2 linked regions of the Drosophila melanogaster genome follow. The protein of the gene in region 2 interacts with the protein of the main gene of each other region in a pairwise test. Each region holds a gene or a part of one and is shown on either strand. Other genes may lie near its edges.

What was found.
Region 1: the proteins of h-cup (region 2) and CG17739 interact in a two-hybrid assay, tested with the Drosophila melanogaster proteins (one large-scale study listed by BioGRID).

Annotation. Positions count from the first base shown.
Region 1 is NT_033778.4:12,304,618-12,310,942, reverse strand, and holds CG17739 (uncharacterized protein), read right to left. Parts: upstream 4,416-6,325; 5' UTR 4,390-4,415; intron 3,665-4,389; 5' UTR 3,656-3,664; coding exon 3,478-3,655; intron 3,385-3,477; coding exon 2,996-3,384; intron 2,943-2,995; coding exon 2,481-2,942; intron 2,425-2,480; coding exon 2,253-2,424; intron 2,189-2,252; coding exon 2,067-2,188; intron 2,003-2,066; coding exon 704-2,002; 3' UTR 531-703; downstream 1-530. Other genes in the region: CG30203 (uncharacterized protein), read right to left, coding at 53-218; salto, read left to right, coding at 4,845-4,881, 4,945-5,012, 5,072-5,414, 5,472-5,723, 5,818-5,978, 6,042-6,325.
Region 2 is NT_033777.3:15,380,770-15,384,638, reverse strand, and holds h-cup (heineken-cup), read left to right. Parts: upstream 1-1,687; 5' UTR 1,688-1,769; coding exon 1,770-2,540; 3' UTR 2,541-2,757; coding exon of another isoform or gene 2,758-2,985; 3' UTR 2,986-3,044; coding exon of another isoform or gene 3,045-3,143; 3' UTR 3,144-3,232; downstream 3,233-3,869. Other genes in the region: Rbp (RIM-binding protein), read right to left, coding at 904-1,382, 1,449-1,572, 2,758-2,985, 3,045-3,143, 3,311-3,476.

The sequences.
Region 1 (6,325 bases), on a different chromosome or scaffold from region 2:
ATGATGATAATAATGTTGAAGTAAAAGCTTCAGGACAACTCGAGACTCTCACCATTGTACTGATGTTCTGGCACATAGGTCTCTGGATTGCCATCGATAAGGATCTTAAAGTTATCATCCACAGGCGATCGAGGGCCACTGGCACCTTGGGGTATCCGATTGCAGACTCCTCTGACTTCGGAAGACAGCAGAATGAGGAGCACGATATGGCGAAGCATCTCTTCTCAATCTTAGCGATCCGTACTGGGTCGAGGCTCAACGGCGACTGACCAAAACTGATGGCTAGCCATCTCCATTAATTGATGAGCATTTCCAATTTATCAATTATCCCTTAAATGGCGCTCTCGGCGTTGACAGCTTATGGCATCTTGATTGAGTTGTCTTCAATTAGGAATGGTTTGTTTTTATGGCAAGCTTTTCAATTGATGAATTGTGCCCGGGTTCTTTGAACTTGCAACCCGGCGAAAAATCACTCGTAAACTGGCCACTGTTTGCTTAATGGAACTGGGTCAAGGTTAAACTCAATCGGAATTGGAATTACCACGCGAACACAATTCTGTTTTATTGTTTTTAATACATATTTAATCTGTTGCGAGAAGAGCTAGTGTAGGTAGTCTGGAATTTTTCATATATTTAACGATATCCATTGGTAATGATTACATAGTTGGATTAGAACTAATACTTGTAGCAGTTAATGGTATGTTCACCACCGCTCTGGATCATCGTTGCTGGTCAGCTGGCAAGGCATCATCACGCACTTTTCCATGCGGACGCGATCCTTGCACTTGTAGCTCAGATCGGTGTTCATTAGGGTTCGGGTTCGTTGGCGAACGGCATTATCGCCACACGTGGCGGTGCATGGTGTCCAGGCGGACCACTCCGAGTAGCGACACTCGTCCTGCGGTTCCGGTTGCGGAGCTCTTACCACATGCCTTCGCTCTCCAAATCCCCGTCCACTGATTGAGTACATGTCATCGCACCGCTGGTAGCAGCGATCCAAACGTACCAGGTGCTTGGGACATGGCTTGCCTCCATACTTCGGAGTACGGAGCACCCGACGCGTTCGCAATTGGAAGCCATCGCCGCAGGAGGCGTTGCAACTGTGGGAAACCCAGTCAGAGACGAGACAATCAATGGCTGGAATGCCATCGTGCTGCAGTTCCTGTTTGTGGCGCGGCAGGCGACATGTCTCCTCGCACTCCTCCTTCGACTTGAATTTGTTGCGATTTGTATCACAACGATCCGACCAATAGATGGCACACTGGTCACTCACATGGTCGTAGTACCAGAAGTTGGCCACATCGTTATCCCGACACGGACTGTCGGTCAGCTCGTCGTAGCAGAAGCCGGGAACAATGGTATCGCAGCTAGGATTGGTGCAGTTCACCTCCTCGTGCAGCTTGATGTGTCGACAGGGATCCTGGCCGTCATCATTGGGATCCGTTACTCCGTACACCTGGTTGTTATTCCACACCTTGCGAATACGTTGCCGCTTTCCATGTCCACCGCATGGCCCCATGCACGGCGAGAAATCCGACCATGGAGTGACCCCGCAAACCGGTGGTATGTAATCCTCCCGATGCTGACTGTAACTCTCGAAGTTGCGGAATATGGAGCGTTTCTCAGCGGATCCACCTCCGTCGCCACCGGCCTGTTCCTCCTCCGGTTCCCCAGCACCACCTTCGTTCTCGATGTCCCCACCGCATTCCATTGCCTCGCAAATCTTGGTCTCATGCAGACGCGCCCTGCTTGCCTTCTGGCACTTCTTCTTGGCCTTCTTGTTTAGATAGTGTCGGGATCGGGTCATTTCGCCGGTTCCACAAGTCACGGTGCACGAAGACCACTCCGACCAGTCAGACAGACCGCACTGGGGATCGTCGCTGCTACCTGGTGATGGCGCCACCTCCGGCTCGCCGCCTTCAGCTGTCTCCTCATTGAAGCCAGCGCACTTGTGTCCCACGCAGTTCTTCTCCTCACGCAGGGCATTGTTGCAACGATGACGCTAAGGTAGGTGTCAAAATGTATATATAGTATGGGATCCAAATTATATATGTCGTCTTAATTACCGAAGCCAATGCAGGGTTCTTGAACTCTCGGATTCTGTATTGCTTGCCGGGACCGCACTTTGTGGTGCATTCATCCCATCTGGACCACGAGTTTGTGGCGCACTCCGGCGGTACCTGTTCCGCTACAGGATTAAAGTATATAGTATGTATATTCACAACATCAATATATGGTTGCATTTAACTTACAATCGGAGGACTCGCAGTTCTTTTCGTAGAGTCGTCTTCGATTGATGTGCAGGGTGGCCAATGGCTTCATCTGGGCACCAGTGGGATCATAAAAGGGCGAACGGGGATCGTTGGGGAAATTTGATTTGATGCGGCGCACAACATCTGGAGGCACCTGTGGCTGGTCAGCGGACTGAAAAGTATTCGTGATTGACTCTACTGAAGACTAAATCATGGAAATCGTCTTACCATATATGATGGACCACTATCGGTGCCCGCATCCCAGGGATATAGGTTGTGCACCTTGTTCTCCACCCAGGAACAGTTGGGCAGACATAGCTCGAGGCCGGATACACCAACGATCCAGTCTGGAGAGGGATCCACCATTGATACGAGGGAGATCAAATGGTGGTTGGAGTCGACGCGAAAAACGGCAAATGTTTTGCCCGTAACATTCGGATAGGCAATGCCCCTTGCCTTGATGATCGTGCGAATGTGTTCGCTCTGATCCTTCAGCTCACTCTCCAAGGTCCTTGTGGAGCCATGCTCCGCCACCTCACGCAGCCCCTCGCTGGCCAGCTCTCCATACTGCCAGAATCTGTAGTCCAGTGTGTGCGAGGCACCAATGATATCGCTGAATCTGGTGCGCCAGCTATTCGCTGGAAAGTCCTTGGGATGTGTGTGACGCGACCACTTGCCTTCGAAGGTAAGCTGAAGTAAGGAGGTGTTAATACCATTTCAATAATGAGTTAAAAGAGTCCCACCTCATATTTGGCCTCGTCACAGGCACAGCACGGATCCACGATGCTGGGCTGGGTGTCAATGTCGTCCACCTCCTCCTCGCACATACGCTTGGTAAGGAAGCCATCATCCATGAACCACACATCTCGATGCTGCATCACCGTAGCCCTCAGCAGGATGCAGCCCTGTCCCGGACTCGATGGAGCCACCCAGAACACATCCACGCGTGTCTTCACGTTCGTGTTGGTATTCTCGACAAGATTTGGGCAGCGCGGACTGAAACGGGTCTCGGCGAGATCGGCGATCTCCCAGGTGCCCAGGGCATTGGCGTCACCATCGCCGTCACCACTCTCCAAATCCAGGGCCAGCATAAAGCTAATGAAGGACAAGCCAGAAAATGCACTGAGGCTAACTGAAAACGAGCAGCGAAAGATTAGAGAATTGAAAGAAAAATCTAGAAATTTGTAAATTTAATTTAATTTAATGCTTAATTTAATGCACTCACCATTATACCTTTGACCGGGCACATAACTCTGCGTATTTCCGTTTACGGACAGCACATAGTTATCATCCACCGGTGACTTGGCTGCTGTGACTCCCGGTGGGACCCTAATGCAGCCCTCGATCCGGGGAATAACACCCACTAATGCGAGAAGAATAGTGAAACCTTCCAGAGCTTTCATTTCAAAGAGCTGCAATGCAAAATTGAGTGGGAATACAAATTTACAATCATTTGATGCAGCCACGTGGTTGTGGGGGAAAAAACTATTTCTGGCCAGCACTTAATTGTCTTAATTATCCGCATTGGTATCGAATGTCAATGGCAACCAATGGAGCCTACTTCCAGTTTCAAACTGAACTTGAATTCGTAGAAATAGCCTTCAATTGAATGACTTTGCGTGATGTCACACATAGTGCATATTGCTATTTTCGCAGACACTTTCCATTTCCTTTGAGATCCAAATTATGCCAGCTCAATTGCCATGCGGAACTTGAACTAGGCGGGTTGTTGGTTGTTTACCCCTTGAAAATCGGATCGCATTGCGTATATACAATATATAGTCTGTACTATATAGACCGTCTACGTCACTGATTAAATTCAATTGAAAAACGCGCCGACTGTCTACAGCGAATTCGAATACAAGGGGGTGACAAACGTCCATTTCCCATGGATCTAAATCATTAAAGTCACTTTTAGGGCTTCTTCACCTCAGTACTGCACTTATATTGTAGCACCCACTTTCACTAGCACATCATGTATGTTAATCCAGTTGATTAAGTTATTTTGAGAAAATAAACTAATAGCAAGGTGGTACAGATTGTTTTTTCATACTCTTGTTACTCAGTATTGATGGATCGTAAATGAAACAATCTCGAAATATATGCTTTTAGAGGGAAATCCGAACTAAGAACTTACTCGGTGGACGCACGAACAGCAACTGAATGCAAATTTCGCCGAGTCGATTATTGGATGGACGATGTGCATCATTCGGGACCGACGAATGGATTACATGGAGAACCTCAGAGAGGGAAAAACTGCTCTCTACTTTTCCCTCCCATTTAGCTTAGTTTCCGCTTCTTTTGCAGATTCGCATTTGTTGATAGAAACCATTAGTTTTCATACGCTCATTCTAAACAAACAGACCCCAAAAACACCGGGTACATTGGAACTGAACAAGTGTGCTCTGAGTTTGAATTCATGTTACTTCCACGAACCACCTCGTTTGGATTGGTCAGAAAGCATTTTTGTACCATTTACACTAGACGTAGTTCAACTGGAAATATTTAGAAACAAATTTTCTATACTATTTTTTCCTCATTTTGAACACAAAAATCGTTTACAAAAAAGCGTTGATTTCCGAAACTTTAGATATGAATTCTTCCAGCGTGACGCCGCGTTCAGTTCGTAGTAAGTACATGTACCTTGAACGCTATACGAATGTGTGCTTCAAATGCTCGTTATCCTTGTTAGGTAACAAAGCATTCTTGCTGAGGACAGCTGGAAAGGCGGAAAAGCAAGCCTCAGACAAAGCTACATGGGTGAGTGAGATAGAAGAAAAGGGTTTAGTTTTTTCAAATGCTTTACATCCCCGTCCCAGTCTCGCACTTCTTCTTGTGGTGGCGTCTTCTCTACTCCTCCCACCCAGAATGGCGACGGAAGCCCAAACAAAGGTAGGCTCAGTCACATTCCAAATAGGCGTGGAGCGAGTCGGTCGTCTATCCATTCGCGAAAAACTTCTCTGGAACGGGTTACTTCTTCGACGAAAGCGCGCCCGTGTGTCAGTACGTATTCGTTGCCCAATCGACGGGTCGAGCCCGAGCATAAAGTAGTTGAGCCCGATCGGAAAACTGATATCGATGAGTTGAATCCCCCCAAGCGGAACGTGGTTCCCATAAAGACGCATGCCCAGTCAGCACAATTGGTTAAGTCAACGACATGCGGTGGGTATCGCGAATATTTGAAACGTGGTCCAATTCTCTGATTATTGCCGTCCACAGAACCTTATCAAAATGTAAAGAAGCCTGAAAAGATGTCGCATCGCCGTGTCCTGGAGATGAACCGGATGCGGGTCTTTGATACGCAGAAAAAAAAACTGGAGAACCTGCAGTCCGAGTTTATGCACAAGATCCGGTTAATGGGTTCGGAGCTCCGGAATCAAGGGGTCTTCAAGTTTGTGGGTCTGACTGTAAACGATGAATGCAAGCTTGTGGTCCACCATGATGATCTACTTCGATTGCCCAAGAGTATTCGTAAGTTCGTTTTGATTTTACGTCTTCGATTGAATGAATTGTTATCCTTGAATTATCCTTCTTTCGCTTACAATTGCATACTTTTATTTTCTAGCCGCCGAAAGTATGAATGACTTGAAAACCAGGTGTCGTGCGATTGTAGATCAGGGGGTTTTGTTAATCTACGACCATATACCAAGAATTCAGAGGGCTAAAAATGATCTCGAGGCTAGTGAAAAGCGTGAGGAAACTCAAAAAAAGTTGTCTAACCTAGTGGTATGTTTTTGTGCAACCGCTATGATGCACTAGCAATGTGAAACTATTTTATTGTGTCTCCAGGAAGAAAAAATGAATTTAATCGTCGAGGAGATCGAACAGTTGTGCGGTGCATGCTCCAAACAAGAGTCACCCAACAAAAGTCTCTATCGCGAGATGTCCGAGTTGCGTTCCCAGAAACAGGCCATGGAGGTTCGTTATTTTGACGCCCAGAAGGAGCACACTGAACAGATGAACCAGTTGCGGATCGAGCTCGATGCCAAGCTGAAACAGGAGCTGGCCAGTCGAGATCAGATCATTGTAGAGCTGAGAAAGAGCCTGCGGCGAAGCGAGGATATGCTCAGTGA
Region 2 (3,869 bases):
AACGTCTTAAATGGACATCTATGCATGAACAACTGAGCATGTTGGTGGTGATTTTCGGCTGGTCATGAGTGCCTATTGAATCTGCAATTAACTTAAGCCGTCTCCAAGCGAGGATTCGTGGTTATGCAACACGGCTAGCATCCAATCATCACCATTAAAAAGTTTATCAACGAGTAACGGAAAGCTTTCAAACATGTAACTCCTTCAAGAGATATAAACTTAGTAAGTATGTATATGTCTGTAAATGCAGCAGATGCATGAGCTAGGTTGTGTACAATCAGTTTAACAATATATGAACTTCGAAGGAATGCTTCAAAACTATTTGATTAGCTTGCAAGAAATGAACTGAGTATAAGAAGCAGTTCTTCGATTTGTGCATGACCAATGATATATGAATATACATTTGAATAATATTAGTGACATTTATAACTAATACCATCCTCGATACGAGTGATTTACAATGAAATTTTATAGCATGCCAGCGAATTTGATTTCAATGATACAGAGAATACTTATGTAACAGGCAATCAAAGGTCGAATACAGATACTCAAACGATTTAGTTTTTAAATGGTTGTGTTTGTGATTCAGTGTAATGTGATATTCGGTGGGTGGCTTTCGATGTGAATGTATTTATTTTCATCAGTAATGAGACTACAACAAACGGCCGGTGGCTGCAGCAGCGACGATCAACAGAAGCGGATGGTCGCTATATATGCTATATGCTATATGGCTAGGCTATATGGCTACTCAAACGGATCGAATTTACATACAACTTATAACGCATATATATAGCACTTTCTAGATGTGGCAAGCTTTTAAGCAAATCGATCGGCAGCGGTACATAATTGCTGTGGTTGCTGTTGTTGTTCGTAGTTCATTGCGATTGAAAATAGGTGGTTTACCTGACTTAATGCCGTTGGCATAGCCTTCATCGTGTGAATATTTACCGGCAGGGGTGGAATGCCAGTGATTCCACTAGTTCCGCTCAGCAGTTTCTCCACGGACGTCTGTCCGGTTCCGTACTGCATCGATTGAATGGCATGGCTGCTTAGACTCGAGGATATGCCGCTGATTGAGTTGGGCACCAGGGCCGATATGGATGATAGGCCGCCTTGGCCGCCGCCCCCGACCACGCCTCCCGATCCAGCGGAGACGCTGTGGGCGGCAGCAGCGGCGGCCGCGCTGTGCGAGCCAAGACTGGTGCCGCTCAAGCTGGTGCTGGCCCCACCATTGGGCAGCGTGGAGGCCAGCGATTGCGGCAGGCTTGAGTAGCCGGAGGATAGGGCGGAGACACCGCCGCCGCCGCCGCCGACGCCACCTCCTCCTCCTCCGCTTCCTCCCAGAACTGCTCTTTTGTAGCGGTTCAGTTCTTCTTCGAGTTCTGCGGGCATTACAAATTCCATTCTATATTCTATTTCTGTATTAGTGTTATCTCTGGCTTGCTTACCACTCTTTGATATGGTTCTAAATTCGCTATTTACCGTGCTCAACATGGAACTGGGCGGCAATGCTGACATGCTGGCGCTGGCCGAGGTGCGAGGTTGTTCCAGCTCGGCCAGCACGCGATTATCCTGCAATTAGGCAATAAGGATAGATAGATTTGTAGTAAAATGACAATTCTCTAGAGAACTTGAATGTACATCTTAATAGGCTATTACTTTAGCATTGATCTATTATTTCCCCAACTGCCCTGAGAAGTCCGAAGTAGACAATTTTGTATAGAAAAAAATCCAAATTCAACGTGAGCAATCCAAACCAGATTGGACGGATGGATAGCTCGGTGCCATCCGGAGCCGAAAGCGGTCTTATCAAGGAGTACAAGGACTTTGCCAAATGCCTGGACGAACTGGAGTTCAAGACCGATGAGCTGCTAATCGATGCTAAAATGGTGGATCAGGAGTTGGCCAACTGCCACAAGTTTCGCGAGGATCAGCTGCTGAAGCATCTGACGGAGAAGAACGACGACGACGAGCAGATGCAGTTGCTGCGGGAAAACATCGAGCTCAAGGCGACCGGCGTTGAGTTCCAACACGGCATTGAGCTGATCATGGAGAAGTACCGTGAGCACAGCGAAGGGGACATGTTAATCGATACCTACCAACTGAGGGAGCACTACCTGGCCGGTTTGTCGAAGGTGGTCGAAGAGCAGGATGCCCGCATCGAGCGTATGGTTGATGTGATGAAGCTAACTGTCGACTTCGAGGACCGGAGCAGTGCCGAGAACCAGCAGATCATTTGCCAGCTGACTGATGAAAATGAGCAGTTGCGTCGTCAGTTGCAGATCAGTACCACCGATGAGCTGTTCCGCCAGGGAGCACTGAGCTCCAGCGAAAGTAGCACTCAGATCGGACCAAACGATTCTTTGGATTCGAGTGCCACCCGGGAGAATAGCATCTACAGCATAGATAGCTTCCTCTCCTGCCTTTCGCCGAGCAGCGTGGAGGATGATTCGGAGTGCTCATCCAACAATTCGCTGCTGAGTGAGCTGGAAGTCACTTGCTTTATTGAGGAGGCTCTGGCCGAGAAGCCCGAGGAGTAGACCTACAACATGGACGAATAGGCACAACACACGTTCCTGCCCCACTGCAACACTGGCTGTTTACGTTGATTGAATACTTGGTACTTGGTACCCGAAATATAATTTCATTCGAGGCTACACTATCCACACACTACTAGCTGTCTGTTAGCTGTTGCTGTTCTTTCATAAAGATCTATATACCATTTGCACTCCTAGGAGATTAGTTGCACTTAAATACCTGCTCAATCTTTGCCATTATGATATCAATCTCGGATCCTTGGTCCTGGTGGCTGATTGTCGGTGCCCAAGTGACGGTGGAGCTGCTGGCCGATGTAGGAATGGTCGCGCCGCCACCGGAGGACACGCTCCCCATTCCGGAGCAGGCCGAGCGGGATGCCTGTTTGGCCTTCAGAGCCGACGTCAGTTCGATTTGCAGCTCCTCGCAGCGCACATTTTCCAGCGCAACCTATGGATTTTTAGAGTTCAATACGATTGAGTAGATATGATTTGAGGGCATATAGTCACCTTCTTTTCCAGTTCCCGGGCTCTCGACTGCAGATTCTCCACCGCCTCGGCATCGGGACGAGCGCTACCGCTCAGATTGCGTATTTGTGCCAGGGTTTCCTAGGATAGCATATATATATAAATACAGATAAACAAAATGTTCTATAAATCCTATAACAATACAATTGCAATATACTGTTCTTAAAATCAAACTATAGTACCATAGTTTTTCATCTGAAATTCCATTAATATGTGCATGAGTTCACGGTACCTGGAAGGACACTCACCTGATGCGCCCGCTCGATCTCCGTGCGCCGCATCTCGGCATCGCGCAGCTGCAGGCTGAGGGCGTCCAGCATTCCGTTGGGGGTGGTGCCAGCGGCCACGGCAGCGGCCGCCGACTGATGATGGTGCATCGACTCGTACGGCATGCTGTGGCTGCCCCTCGGACGACTGCAATGGAAGCGATAATCGCACATGAGAATGGGGTCAGTGAATCTGCAGCACGACGAATGGACGAACTGCCGCTGGGCAAAGACTGCAGGACTTGGCAGCTATAACTAGTTGCTGCTTTTATTATCCCTTATTTATTCATGCGCCTGATGGCTGGTGCCTGCTGCCTGGCGAATGTGGAAATAGGTCAGCTGCCTGGCACGCACGTGTCCTTGGGGTTCAGTGTGTGTGCGTGTACGTGTACGTGTGTGTGTTTGGATTGTTGCGAACTTTGAACTTTGGGTTAATTGCCTGCCTGACCGTATTTATTGTCCACGCACAGCCTACAAAATCTTATATTGGTCGGCTCGGCTCATTCAAACGCTTATCTTAATTTCATAGTTTGCAGCACAA